Linked DNA regions of Coturnix japonica. The protein of the gene in region 1 binds, or shares a complex with, the protein of each later gene. Links are inferred from orthologs where the notes say so. Each region holds a gene or a part of one and is shown on either strand. Other genes may lie near its edges.

Evidence for each region. Proteins that work in one complex are often made in the same cells at the same time.
Region 2: the proteins of CACNA2D1 (region 1) and CACNA1E are in contact, whole or in part, in a cryo-EM structure (PDB 8EPM), measured with the Homo sapiens proteins. The link is inferred for Coturnix japonica from reciprocal best matches to the Homo sapiens genes CACNA2D1 and CACNA1E. Residues at the interface, in NP_001353796.1 of Homo sapiens: Thr170, Asp171, Tyr173, Ile233, Leu235, Ser261, Gly262, Ser263, Ser265, Gly266, Leu267, Lys270, Ala327, Lys328, Gly329, Ile330, Thr331, Glu366, Gln391, Asn393, Tyr394, Ile416, Gly417; in NP_001192222.1 of Homo sapiens: Gln110, Leu112, Pro113, Glu114, Asp115, Asp116, Lys117, Pro119, Arg122, Asn630, Phe631, Asn632, Asp633, Gly634, Ile1330, Gly1331, Asn1332, Val1334, His1336, Met1341, Val1343, Arg1346, Arg1393, Ser1394.
Region 3: the proteins of CACNA2D1 (region 1) and CACNA1C are in contact, whole or in part, in a cryo-EM structure (PDB 8WEA), measured with the Homo sapiens proteins. The link is inferred for Coturnix japonica from reciprocal best matches to the Homo sapiens genes CACNA2D1 and CACNA1C. Residues at the interface, in NP_001353796.1 of Homo sapiens: Thr170, Asp171, Tyr173, Ile233, Leu235, Gly262, Ser263, Ser265, Lys270, Thr274, Ala327, Lys328, Gly329, Ile330, Glu366, Gln391, His392, Tyr394, Ile416, Gly417; in NP_955630.3 of Homo sapiens: Phe147, Pro148, Glu149, Asp150, Asp151, Ser152, Asn153, Ala154, Asn678, Lys1090, Gly1091, Asn1092, Tyr1093, Ile1094, Tyr1096, Gly1099, Val1101, Pro1104, Ile1106, Arg1109, Tyr1156.

What each region holds. Positions count from the first base shown.
Region 1 is NC_029516.1:9,138,495-9,142,646, forward strand, and holds the start of CACNA2D1 (voltage-dependent calcium channel subunit alpha-2/delta-1), read left to right. Parts: upstream 1-1,349; 5' UTR 1,350-1,836; coding exon 1,837-1,931; intron 1,932-4,152. UniProt on the Homo sapiens protein: The alpha-2/delta subunit of voltage-dependent calcium channels regulates calcium current density and activation/inactivation kinetics of the calcium channel. Plays an important role in excitation-contraction coupling.
Region 2 is NC_029523.1:5,968,660-5,972,173, forward strand, and holds part of CACNA1E (voltage-dependent R-type calcium channel subunit alpha-1E), read left to right. Parts: intron 1-1,113; coding exon 1,114-1,205; intron 1,206-1,293; coding exon 1,294-1,459; intron 1,460-1,622; coding exon 1,623-1,750; intron 1,751-3,514. UniProt on the Homo sapiens protein: Voltage-sensitive calcium channels (VSCC) mediate the entry of calcium ions into excitable cells.
Region 3 is NC_029516.1:51,092,146-51,095,659, forward strand, and holds part of CACNA1C (voltage-dependent L-type calcium channel subunit alpha-1C), read right to left. Parts: coding exon 3,193-3,514; intron 2,959-3,192; coding exon 2,662-2,958; 3' UTR 1-2,661. UniProt on the Homo sapiens protein: Pore-forming, alpha-1C subunit of the voltage-gated calcium channel that gives rise to L-type calcium currents. Mediates influx of calcium ions into the cytoplasm, and thereby triggers calcium release from the sarcoplasm.

The DNA.
Region 1 (4,152 bases):
AAATTGCCATGGCCTCATATGACCTGAACCACGCCACATTTAAGACTCTTTCCCCCATGAATTTTTCCAACCCTTTGCTTGTGAAGTCTCTTCCCTATCTTGGATTTAACCTCAGTGAACCCTATGAAGCAGTACATCTGTCAGAGAAAGTACCCCATATCTGTGGCTCTGTAGTTGCCCACTGCACCTTACAGCAGAGATTGTTGGTGTCCCTGCACCCTGTTAAGACAGCCGAGGTGCTTGGATAAGAAGTTATAGCTGAATCTGAAGTGTTGCTACATGATGTGGCAAAGCAGCAAGGCCTATGGAGACCTGAGGCTGGACTGTAGATACTACTCCAACTACATCAGCTTACAGGCTGCAGCACTGTTTTAGAAATTGCTACTTTAGATTTGCATCCAAACCCTAAATCCTACATACCTACAGGTAGGTGGATAAGTGACGACAACTGGGAGTTCTTCCCACCAGCTCTGAAGTGCCAGTTCCAATCCAGAAACAATGTGGATGAGTGACTGCATGGTTTACAGATTGCAATTGAAATATCGTGCTGGCGTGCAGCCCGGGCAATGCAAACACTCAATTCTCCATTTGTGGATCTCAGCTTTGGTCTTTCTGCCACCTTTAAAAGAGAGATAAATACTTTCCTGTTTTACAGAGGCTGTTGTGAGTTAATACACTCAAGATTATGGTACTCTCTGATACAATGGATGTGAGAATCGCATGAATAGTGCCTGCTCTTTTATTTCCACCTGTTGGACTAATTACCAAAAATGCAGAAAGAAAGAAGGAAAGAACAAAATTTTAGTGAAAAGCTGTTAGTGAACTTTTAATTGCTTTATTAAATTACCTAAGCAATCTTTCTCTGGTTTACTTTGTATAGAGAACATATGACTGCCACAGAGAAGGGCGTATGTGAGCATAAAGGAAGCATAAAAAGCACTCTGAGTTGTCCGAGGGCTCTGCAAACAATACACGCTTTAGAGATGCGACTGAGGAGGACGGAGCCTGGGCACTTGCAGGAACCCCGGGGACCCGCACTGGGTGGTGCTGCTGGGAGCCTCCAGAAAGCCATTTATATACGATTATATGAATGCACCCCAGACTGGGCGAACTGCTGGGCGTGCGGCTGCTGCTCCTCCAGAAAGAGGGAGAGGGATTAAAAGAGGCACGAAGCGCCGTTAAAAATAGCGCGCGGGAGGCTCGGAGGTGCGGCACGCCGCCCGGGGGCCCGGCCCGGCCCGGAGCTCCACGCTCCATGTAAGGAGCGCGGCCGCACAGCGCCCGCCGCCCGCCCCCGCTGCCGGGAGGAAGGCAGCAGCCGGGAGAAAGCCGCCCGCCGCCAACTCTCCCTTCCCTCCTCTCCCTTCAGGAGCCCCCACCCCGCCTCCCTCTCCACCTCCTCTTCCTCCTCCCCTCCTCCCCCGTTGCTACCGCTGCTCCGCAATCGGGGGATAAATCAGGGAAGCGGACACACGCATGGAGTGAGCGGGGATCCGTTACAAAAGTAGCGCTGATGGCGGCGGATCGGATGAAGCTGGAGCTGCTGCCGGAGTAACAGAGAGTGGAGTGCCTCTCTCTCTCGCTTCTCTCTTTCCCCCTCTCCACCCACCGATCTCCATCGTTTCTCCTCCTCCTCCCCACCCTCGGCCGCACTCCCTGCACATCGCTGGGCTGTGCCAGGGGGCGGGCAGGGGCAGCAGAGGAGCCTTTAAAAACCAGAAGCCCCCCCACACCCAGCGCGCACAATAATTGAATTTATTATTATTATCGTCTCGCCGACTTGGGGGAAAAAAAAAAAACAACAAAAAAACGAGGGATCGATCTTCGATCAGGAAGATGGCTGCTGGCTGGCTGCTGGTCTTTAGCCTGACACTTTTCCAGTCTCTGGTGATGAACCACTCCTCGGAGGGCCCGTTCCCTTCGCCCACCACGTAAGTGCCTCCGAGGCAGCGCCGGGAGCGGGGTGGGAGGCAGCGCCGGGCCGGGGGCATTCCTGGCGATGGGGACAGCGGTACCGAGCGCTGCTAAAAGTAACTCTGCGTGGGAAGCGGCGACAAGGGAAAGCAGCAGGGGTTCGGATGGGCAAAGAGTGGAGTAGGGGGGACCGTCACCCGGTGGCAGTCGGACTTCTGGAGGAGAAGGCTCAGCCTCCGACATCGCTAAATATACACAACCCGGCGGCCGAGCCGCGCCGGGAGGAAAGTTTCGAGTTACGAGGAGCCCGCCCCCTCCTCCCACCGGGGTTATTTCGGTCTGGCAGGAGTTTGGGAGCTCTTAAAATAAATAAATAAATAAATAGAATCAGAACTTGAGGGATTTTAGAAACAAATGAACGACGGGGCGATATTGCCGGCCGTTGGGAAGAAGGACGGCGCTGCCCAGAGCTCCGCTCACTCACAACTGGCCGCATGCCAGTGCGCACCGGGAGTGTTTTGACAGCTCCGGGGTTTGTTTTATGTATGTGTTTGTTCGTGTGGTTTCGTGTGTGCGCACGCATGTGCACAAGCCCGGCTTTTGTAGCGAGCTTAAAGCCACACAACTAAGACACTGTTTCCTTCCACGAGCCGGAGAGCCGGCCTTGGAAATAGAGCTTCCCAAAAGCACCTTTGCGAGGGGAAGTGGTACTCGGTGCGAACAGAGCTCGTTTTGGCATGCCTGGGAGGCAGGAATCTTTAAAGCACCGTGCACTTATTAGCATGAAACTGCTGCCCAGAGCCGTGTGGGATCACATAATGAAGGCAGGCAATACAAGGGCAAAAATAATCCAATTCATCATCTTTGAGCTTCAGCTACAGATTAAAATAAGCTCTATGAACTAATGACCGTGTTTTCTTCCTTTAATTTATTTTTTTTCCTCCACTCCTTCTTTGCTTTCCTTATTATTATTATGTTGAAGCACTTACCTTAGTGCCTAATCTGGGCTGAAGCTATCAGTAGGGAACTTTTAAGCGAATGACTCACTTTAATGCATTTTACATAAGAAAAACAGTGCTGATGGGAGTCTTCCCCATTGTTTAACGCTGGGTGGAATTTATTACCCTCGTTCACTCCGTGCAGAAAGATGAGTTTACAGCAATTACCAGCAATGCATTTTCACCAATTAGTACTGCTGGTAGGTTGTTATAATTGGATTCGGTTCTGAGTTTCGGTTCTGCTACACAGGAATACGAAGATAAGTGTAAAATAACCACTTCGGGTCTTCTAAACAGAATATATATAGCCTTTCGTCGAAGGGAAAATTATCTTAAAAAAATAATCTTTTGCTATTTATAAAGACATACCGTATAAAAGTAAGATTTAAAGCCGGGGTTTTAAATCAGTGCTTTCCCTGTGCTTGAGCTCCTGTATCTGTTTCTGTATTGCCAAAGTGTTTCATACACAACCAACCATGCCTGATCTTCTGCACAGGTTTACCTAATTTTGAGAGGGAAATACAGAATCTCGTGAAATAAAAAGACTGTAGAAAAAGAAGATTGTGTAATTTCAGATAGAACTCCAGATCACTTCTAAGCATTACATTAGCTGATATCTATTTAAAATTACTTTTCATATCTGCCTGTGTTTGCTATTTCCCTTCAGAATTTACCTTTACTGCCAGTTGTGATAATAGAAATTGTCAACAGGGAAGCATGTTATATTAATGCAGTTCTAATTATAAACTGTACCTATTATTAAGTAATTATGAATATGGTGTCAGCAGCATTTTCGTATTCTATACAAACTACCTACCATTAGCTTTCTTTTTTCCCCATTATTACTCCACTGAAAAATTTATAGAAACAATGTGTAACACCTGTCCATCCTTCATAGTAATGTTTCTCCTTTTGAAACTAAAGTGCAAGTGAGGCTTGATTAATTTAGGAGACAGCACAAAAGGTTTATAGAGGGAGAGCTGCTTTGCAAAAGTAGTGATGTAACAGGTGAAGGAGAAAACATTTTTCTGAATCTCTTTTAAGACTTCACAGTTAGTGGGCATTTATTTCCTGCTACAGATTACAAATGGGGAAGAACAAAGGGAAGTCACACATAGGAATGCCCTTAAAGCGAAGGATTTTATATTAAGAATATTAAAGATATGAAAGAAGAGAAAATTAAAAAAAAAAAAAAAAAAAAGGCAGGAGAAGAGAATGAAGAAAAGAAGATGTATTAATA
Region 2 (3,514 bases), on another chromosome or scaffold:
TGTTTGGGACCCGCAGCACTGCATGCCCTAAGCTCCTTGCTGCCTCCCTGCTTGTACCACCCTTGGTGATGTGGAGACTCAGCTGGGCAGCCTGTGCTGCAGCTGCTTCCCAGTCACTCCCTCTTCATTCCACAGGTTTTCAATATCATACCCAATCCCTGTCTCCCTGGTAGGAGGGATGCAGTGAGCATTGCTTCGCATCCCAATGGATGCATCACCACACAGTCCCCTGCAGCCCATCCAGTGGTGGCTACACTGGTTGGGATCCCAAGCTCAGGGACCTGTAGCCCTTAGCAGAGTGGGGGTCTGCACAGCACAGGGAGACGTGGGCCTCCCAGGCTCCAGCACAGGCACGTGAGCACAGCACTCACTCCAACACGTGCTCGCGGCGCTGGCTCGGCAGCACGGTGACTAACACCCATGCTGAGGATCTCACAAAGCATCTCTATTAGCACTCAGGATCTTCAGCTGCCCGATGAGCAAGCCACTGTGATAACAAAAGCAATCTCCTGCTGCTCGCTGTTAGGGAGGGGGGTGAAGCAGAATTTCAGAGCACATCTCTCACTGCCTGCCAGCACGGCTGTGTGGTCTCATCCTTCCCCAAGAGCTGCTGGGTTGGTTTTGGCCTCTCCATCCCACACATCTCAGCACCGGCTCCAGGTGTTCTCCATGCTAAGCAACTGCCATCTGACTCAGCCCCCTCCCTGCCGTGTGGTAGTATTGGATTTATTATTATTATTATTTTTTTTAAACATCATTGTGAACAAATCCCCAAGCAGTAAAGTCTGTGGGCGTTATTTGAGCAAAATAGCTGGAGGCAGAAAATATTCCACAATTACGCATTCCAAAAAACCCGTACAGGGGAAGAAATACTCTTGCAGTGAGGGTATTTTTAGGCTCAGGAGAAGTGGAATAAATATTTGACGGTAATAGCAGCACATTCTTCCAATTTAAGGCACTTTGCGAACGTTCGCCACGTCCTATCGTGGCTTTGGCGGTGGGTTGTTGGTAGGATGTTGCCTGGATTTGGGGCTTCTTCACCTCTCGTGGCCCTGGAGATCTGCTGGTCTGGGGCAGGACTGGTGTTGCCTGAACCGTTTTTCTGCCCCATAGGTTTTTGGCAATATCAAACTAGATGAGGAAAGCCATATTAACCGGCACAACAACTTCCGCAGCTTCCTGGGCTCCCTCATGCTCCTCTTCAGGTAAGCAGTTACAGGCTGGGGGTTCAGGGCTCTACATCCTTCCCCATTGCATCCTTCCCTGCTGCTGAGAGTGGCTGTGTTGGTGCAGGAGTGCCACTGGTGAGGCATGGCAGGAGATCATGCTCTCCTGCCTGGAGGGCAAGGGCTGCGAGCCAGACACGACAGCAACGTCTGGGCAGAATGAGAACGAGCGCTGCGGCACCGACCTGGCCTACGTCTACTTTGTCTCCTTCATCTTCTTCTGCTCGTTCCTGGTGAGTTCTTCTCCCTGGCCACAGGGTCATCCTGTGTACTCTCATCCTACCTTCCCTGGGAATCTCAATTCCTTCTTTAATTCCATCTTCCCACACCTTCCCTTCCTTTTCTGCTCCCTTTCCCCCACTTCCCTTTCTCTCCGCCTTTCTCACTTTCACTTAGATGCTCAACTTGTTCGTGGCTGTCATCATGGACAATTTTGAGTACCTGACTCGAGATTCCTCCATCCTGGGACCTCACCATCTAGATGAATTTGTCCGGATCTGGGCAGAGTATGACAGAGCAGCGTGGTATGTAACCAGCTCCTACTCTCCAAGCAGACTCTCCAGTCTGGTTTTAAGTAGGTGTCTCTGCTTTCTGCTGTTGGAAACAACCTGGCTGGGATGCCTGGGATGGTCACGGCAGGGCTGCTCTCACTCATGGACATTACAAGGGCAGCAGCTGGTTCCTACAGTGCCTGGTGGCACAGGCACCTTAGGGGATATCCTGAAGATGCTCATGGTTGGCCATGGTGTTTTCCCATGGTTCCTGCTGACACCCTCCTCCTCTGCCATGCCACAGGCAGGTCCCTCTCTGCATCCTTCCTGTTCTCTGCCCAAGTTGGGCTCCAGAGCCTGGTCCCCAGCACCCACAGTTCCCGTCAGGTTGGAGTGGAGGTTGGCTTGTCCTCAGCCTGGGGAGATGCTGGTTGTCTGCTGGGCTTCTGCTAGGTCACCAGGGAGTTGTGTAGGCTGGGGACAGGCTCGCTCTTATGCACCCACCCTACAGGAGATGGATGCATTTTGTTTCCTGCACTTATTGCTTTGCTGATGAGGATCCCAGTAAGCAAGGCTCCTGTTTGTAGGCAGCACCCTGTTCTTGTGGCAAGGGGATGAGCCACACTGGTTGGTCAGGCTTTGGCTTTGGAGCAGCTCTATGCTGCTCCTCCCAGGATGGTGTGGAGCATCTCGATGGCTGTGTGCAGCCCACAGCAGAGCAGAGAACACCATGAAGGTGTCTTGTGTGGCCCCTTCCTACCCCAGCCTAGGAACACCCTTTTTGGAGCCATGGCCCACCACTGTGCCAGGGTGCTTTTAACTCAGGGCCCTTGGCTGGTGCATGTGTTCCTTAGGGAAGCATCACCTTCTCTTCTAATTTGCCTCTTGAGAAACCAGGAGGTTTTATAAGCCTAATATCATCTCCTGGCACAGTTTCCTGCACCATTTTTCCCCAGCCCAGTTCAGTTCAGTGCTGGCCAGGTTCCTCCCATGTGGCCTCCCACCAGTACCCAGTGCTGTTGCATGGGCAGGTGAGTTGGCTTGTGAGCGGGTAGCTGTGCCTTGGGGAAGGGAGCATGGGTGAGTAGATATCCAGAGGAGATACAAGATGAAACACTCTCTGCTTGGTGAGGGGTTTCTTGCCTGTGAATATGGGGTGGGATTTCTTCATGCCAGCCACTCTCTCACCCCCATGCTGGGTCCCAAGGGCAGTTGCTGCAAAAGCCCCTCTCTGATTTCTGAGCAAAGAAAATATCACCCTTTGTGGTGATATGTAGCTGGCAGGTAGGGGCTGTGAGCAGATGGTGCTGTTGTGGCCACTGGGGAGCTCTGGCCCTCACTGTGGGGATGAAGAACAGGTGAGTACATCCCAGTGGGTCCCACCACCTGCGTGGGGCACAGCTCTGCACCCTGACACTGGGAATGCTTCAGGAAGGGTCTCAGGGGTGACCACACATGTCTTACTCCAGGGAGGCTCAGGGACTGTTTTTGCCCACATGGTTGGCTTAGCTCTGGCCAGTGATGGAGAGGGGACAAGGAGAGTTGAAGGAGAAACCTGAGGCAAAGGCACAGGGTAAGGGTTGTAATGCTGCTCTTTGCCTCCCTGTATGGTTTCCCTCCAAGCTTGTCCAAGGATGCCCAGGAGGCTGCAGCACGCTGCACCTCAGCACATCCACCCCGCAGTCCTGCTTCCCAAAGGGCTCTGAGCTGGAGCAGGGTGAAGAGCTCAGCATCCCTGCACGCGGTCCTGCCAGCTCCCCACCTCGACTGCTTCCTTATTTCAGCAGTGATGGAGGG
Region 3 (3,514 bases), about 42 Mb from region 1:
GCTCACATGCCAATCATGGTACAGACAAGAGGGATGGAAAAAATGAGGCTGACAGACTTCAGGTGGTTGCTTTCTCCAGGGACTTGGACTGGGACTGTGATGCCAGATGGTTGCTTAAGTGGGTTCACATTTCCCCAGCTTAAAAGGATTTGTTGGCAAGGCATCTTGAGCTGCTACTGGCCAGTTCAAAGTAACAAGAAAAAAGTGCACTTTCAAAAATATCTTCCACTATTTCTGCTTAATGGCCCCAGCAGAGTCAAGAATTAAACCCAAGGGCATTACGAAAATACATAATAAACGATGTAATCAAACATCTGTGAAGCTCACGACTGGAATGAAAGTTTAGCTCTGAGTCAGATCACACCTCTGAGTACTCATCTGCAAGTTTGTGAAACATCTTGAAAAGGGAGAAAATCAGCAGCAGTCTAGACAGAAATCAGCCGCATAAAATCTAATAATATCTCCCTGGTTTCTCAGCCGCTGTGTGCCATCGTGGAGTGAATCAGGAGAGGTTCATGCTCAGCAGCAGGGATATATGGCTGGGATATGCTGTGGCATCAGGTGTTTTGTGACCCATGTGCTAAGGTCTGGGAACATGCATGGAAACAGACAAAAGTCACTGAACATCTGTGTCATGACCAGACCACAGCAATTTTCCTAAGCAACAATCCAGAGTCTGTCCCTCACTTACCCAATGCTTTCAGTCCAGAGTTAGGCACATTTATTTTGCAAACGATTCTGCCATTTGCATTTGCTTATCCCACCATCCTGTTACAACTATCAGGATGAACTACCTAACCTCAATCTGCAAGCAGGTGCTTTTCCCCTCCCTGAATTGCTGGTGCCAGCTGAAGACATGGGATGAATCTTCCACATGGGCTTGGGTATCTCGCCACTCTCTCGTGGGAAGAGAGCTTTGGAGAGGCTGAGCAAAAGGAAAGAGAACAAAGCCTGAACAAAATGTCCCGGCCTCAGGAAGAAAGGTACTCTCTACCAACAAAGTCATCGTGCATATTTAAAGGGGTGAGGAGGAAGGGTAATGAACACAAGATATGCAAAATCAGTAACGTTCGACCTGTCAGTGAATTGCAGAATAGTTACTTACACCAGGTACACTTTGTTCATTGTACAAATTAAAAAAGGAAAAAAATAAAACAAAATATAGTACCCCTGTCCCCGACCACACGTAGAAAAGCACTTAAAAGTTCAAAGGTAAAGCTTGGCACATTCCAAATACGAAATGATTCACTTGACATGCAGCAAAATATACAAGAAGTGACTCTTTTTTTTTTTTTTTTTTTCTTTTTCTTTTAAAACAAACTGAATTCGATTTGATAATATTTGCTTGGCACAATTGCAATTCCTTTTAAAAAAATATTTGAAAAATACCGAAACTGACCTGAATTCAAGTATAACGGTTTCTTCAACAGAAACATCATCAATGCAATAAAACATCACACGGAATATATTGAAGCGTAACGCCTTCTGCTTGGTTGTTCCCCCAACCCCAATAATTTCTTTTTTTTTTTTCTATACAGTTTTAATGCCAACACGACTTATGATTGTATTTTAAAATTAATATTATTGCATTGTTTTTGCATATCTTGTGGAACAGAAGATGCAAAGAGTTACTGGTTCCCCACCCGACAGCGGGCGCTGATTTGGCGCTGCATCCCAATGGCCCCATTGGTCCCTGGGACCTGTGGGGCTGTGCCAAGCGTGTTGCCCGCTGCCGTTCTATGATAACACAACAACAAAAAAAGGAAGTTCCGCTCGGTAGCAAATCAAATGACAGAGTCTTGGTGTACATAGTGGTCGGTAAAACTTGCCTACAGTGTTATGCTTCTACCAAATGCCAATGGAGAAAAGAACCTGGCTTAAATAAAACAACATGGTCAAACCAACGTAACATCTGCAAAGGTGAAAATAAACCCAAACAAAAAGGTAGGTGGTTACAGAACCTTGTAAACACTCCCTTCTCCCTCTGAAAAAATATAATAAAAATAAAATAGTCAAAATAAAAACCGCAACATGCTCTCAAGGAAACACCGAACTGCGGGACAAGAAGAAACCCGTGCCCAGCCACTCCCTGCTCTCCCATTGGCTGGCGCGGCTGTCTGTCTGAACTCCAATTGGTTGGCAGGTGACTTGCCCACGCTCAGGTTGGCTGGCGAGCGACCCTCGAGCTCTGATTGGCCAACAGCAGGAGCCGCTGCAGTCCCCATGCTCCCCTTTTGGCGGTGCTGTGTCCTCCGGGCCCAGGCAGCGGGGCCAGGGTGACTGGGGGCGGTGAGGCTCGGACAGAACATGTGCAAAATGATTTTTACAAGCAAAGTTGAAGGATGCCCGCTGGAGGCCGGGCGCGTTTGGCTGGGCCGCCCTTGGGAGGCAGTCATCGTGCCTTGTGCAGGGACTGGAAAAAGAGGGAGCTGACTCTCCTCCTGGGCACCGCGCTCATTCCAGGCGGACGCGTGCCGGGGTCCTATCCGCTCCTGACAAGTTCTCTGCCACCACCCAACTCTGCGACTCATCCCAACAGAAATGAATGAAGAACGCTGTTCCGGTTACTCCAGGTCACGAGAACAGTGAGGCACTTCTGAAACAAACCCATTAGGAACATTGAAACAAATAAAAAACCAGCATCGCTTCCAGCCCTGGCAACTACAGGCTGCTGATATAAATCCTGCTGTCCTTCAGCTCCTCCTGACTTTTTCTACAATCCGGGTTCTGCACCTCTTCCTCTTCCTCGCCTGCACTGTCCTGCCCTGCGTCCCTGCAGTGAACAAAAGGCAACAGGTTGCCATTGGGGCTCTGCTTGCTGTTACCATTGAGAATGTTGTCTGCTGCGTTTTCCATCTCTTCTATCGTCATGTCGCAGGCGTCAGCGAGTTCCTGGGTCGTGACCTCAATGAACTTTGGATCTTGAGCAAACTGCACCAGTCCTTCCGAAATCAATACCTTCAGGAGGCGGCAGAACCAGAGACAAAAGCAGACATTAGCACTATGAGTTCCAGCCCTACTGCACCCATACAGCATCTCCCTGTTGGCCATGTTGGCCCCTCTCCTCCCACTCATGCTGCTGACCCTTGCTCAGAGATGGGTTTGGCTTTGCAGTGCATCCTGCCCTCCCAAGGGTCATGTTCCTACACTGGCCTCTGTACCACCCACGTCCCCATGCCACCGTGGCCTTACCGCTTCGACCAGGCTGCTGGCGCTGCCGTGGAACTGCCTGCTGCTCCCCGCTGTCTGGCTGGGGACGGTGAGGGACACTGGCCTGGCTCTCCTTGGGCTGCCACAGTCTGAGCTGTCGGGGAACCGGGAACTGCAGTGCACGGATGGGAAGCTGCTATTGAGCTTCTCGCTGGACTCAGCCCCCTCAAGGCGCAGCGTTGGGATGGGCTGCTGTGGCCAGCCTCGGCTGCAGGGTGTAGCAGGCGGTGTGGCACACAGCCGGGAGAACGTGGTAGGGGAATGGCTTCGCTGGAGGAGGGGGCTCAGGCCGGCCACTGCCAGT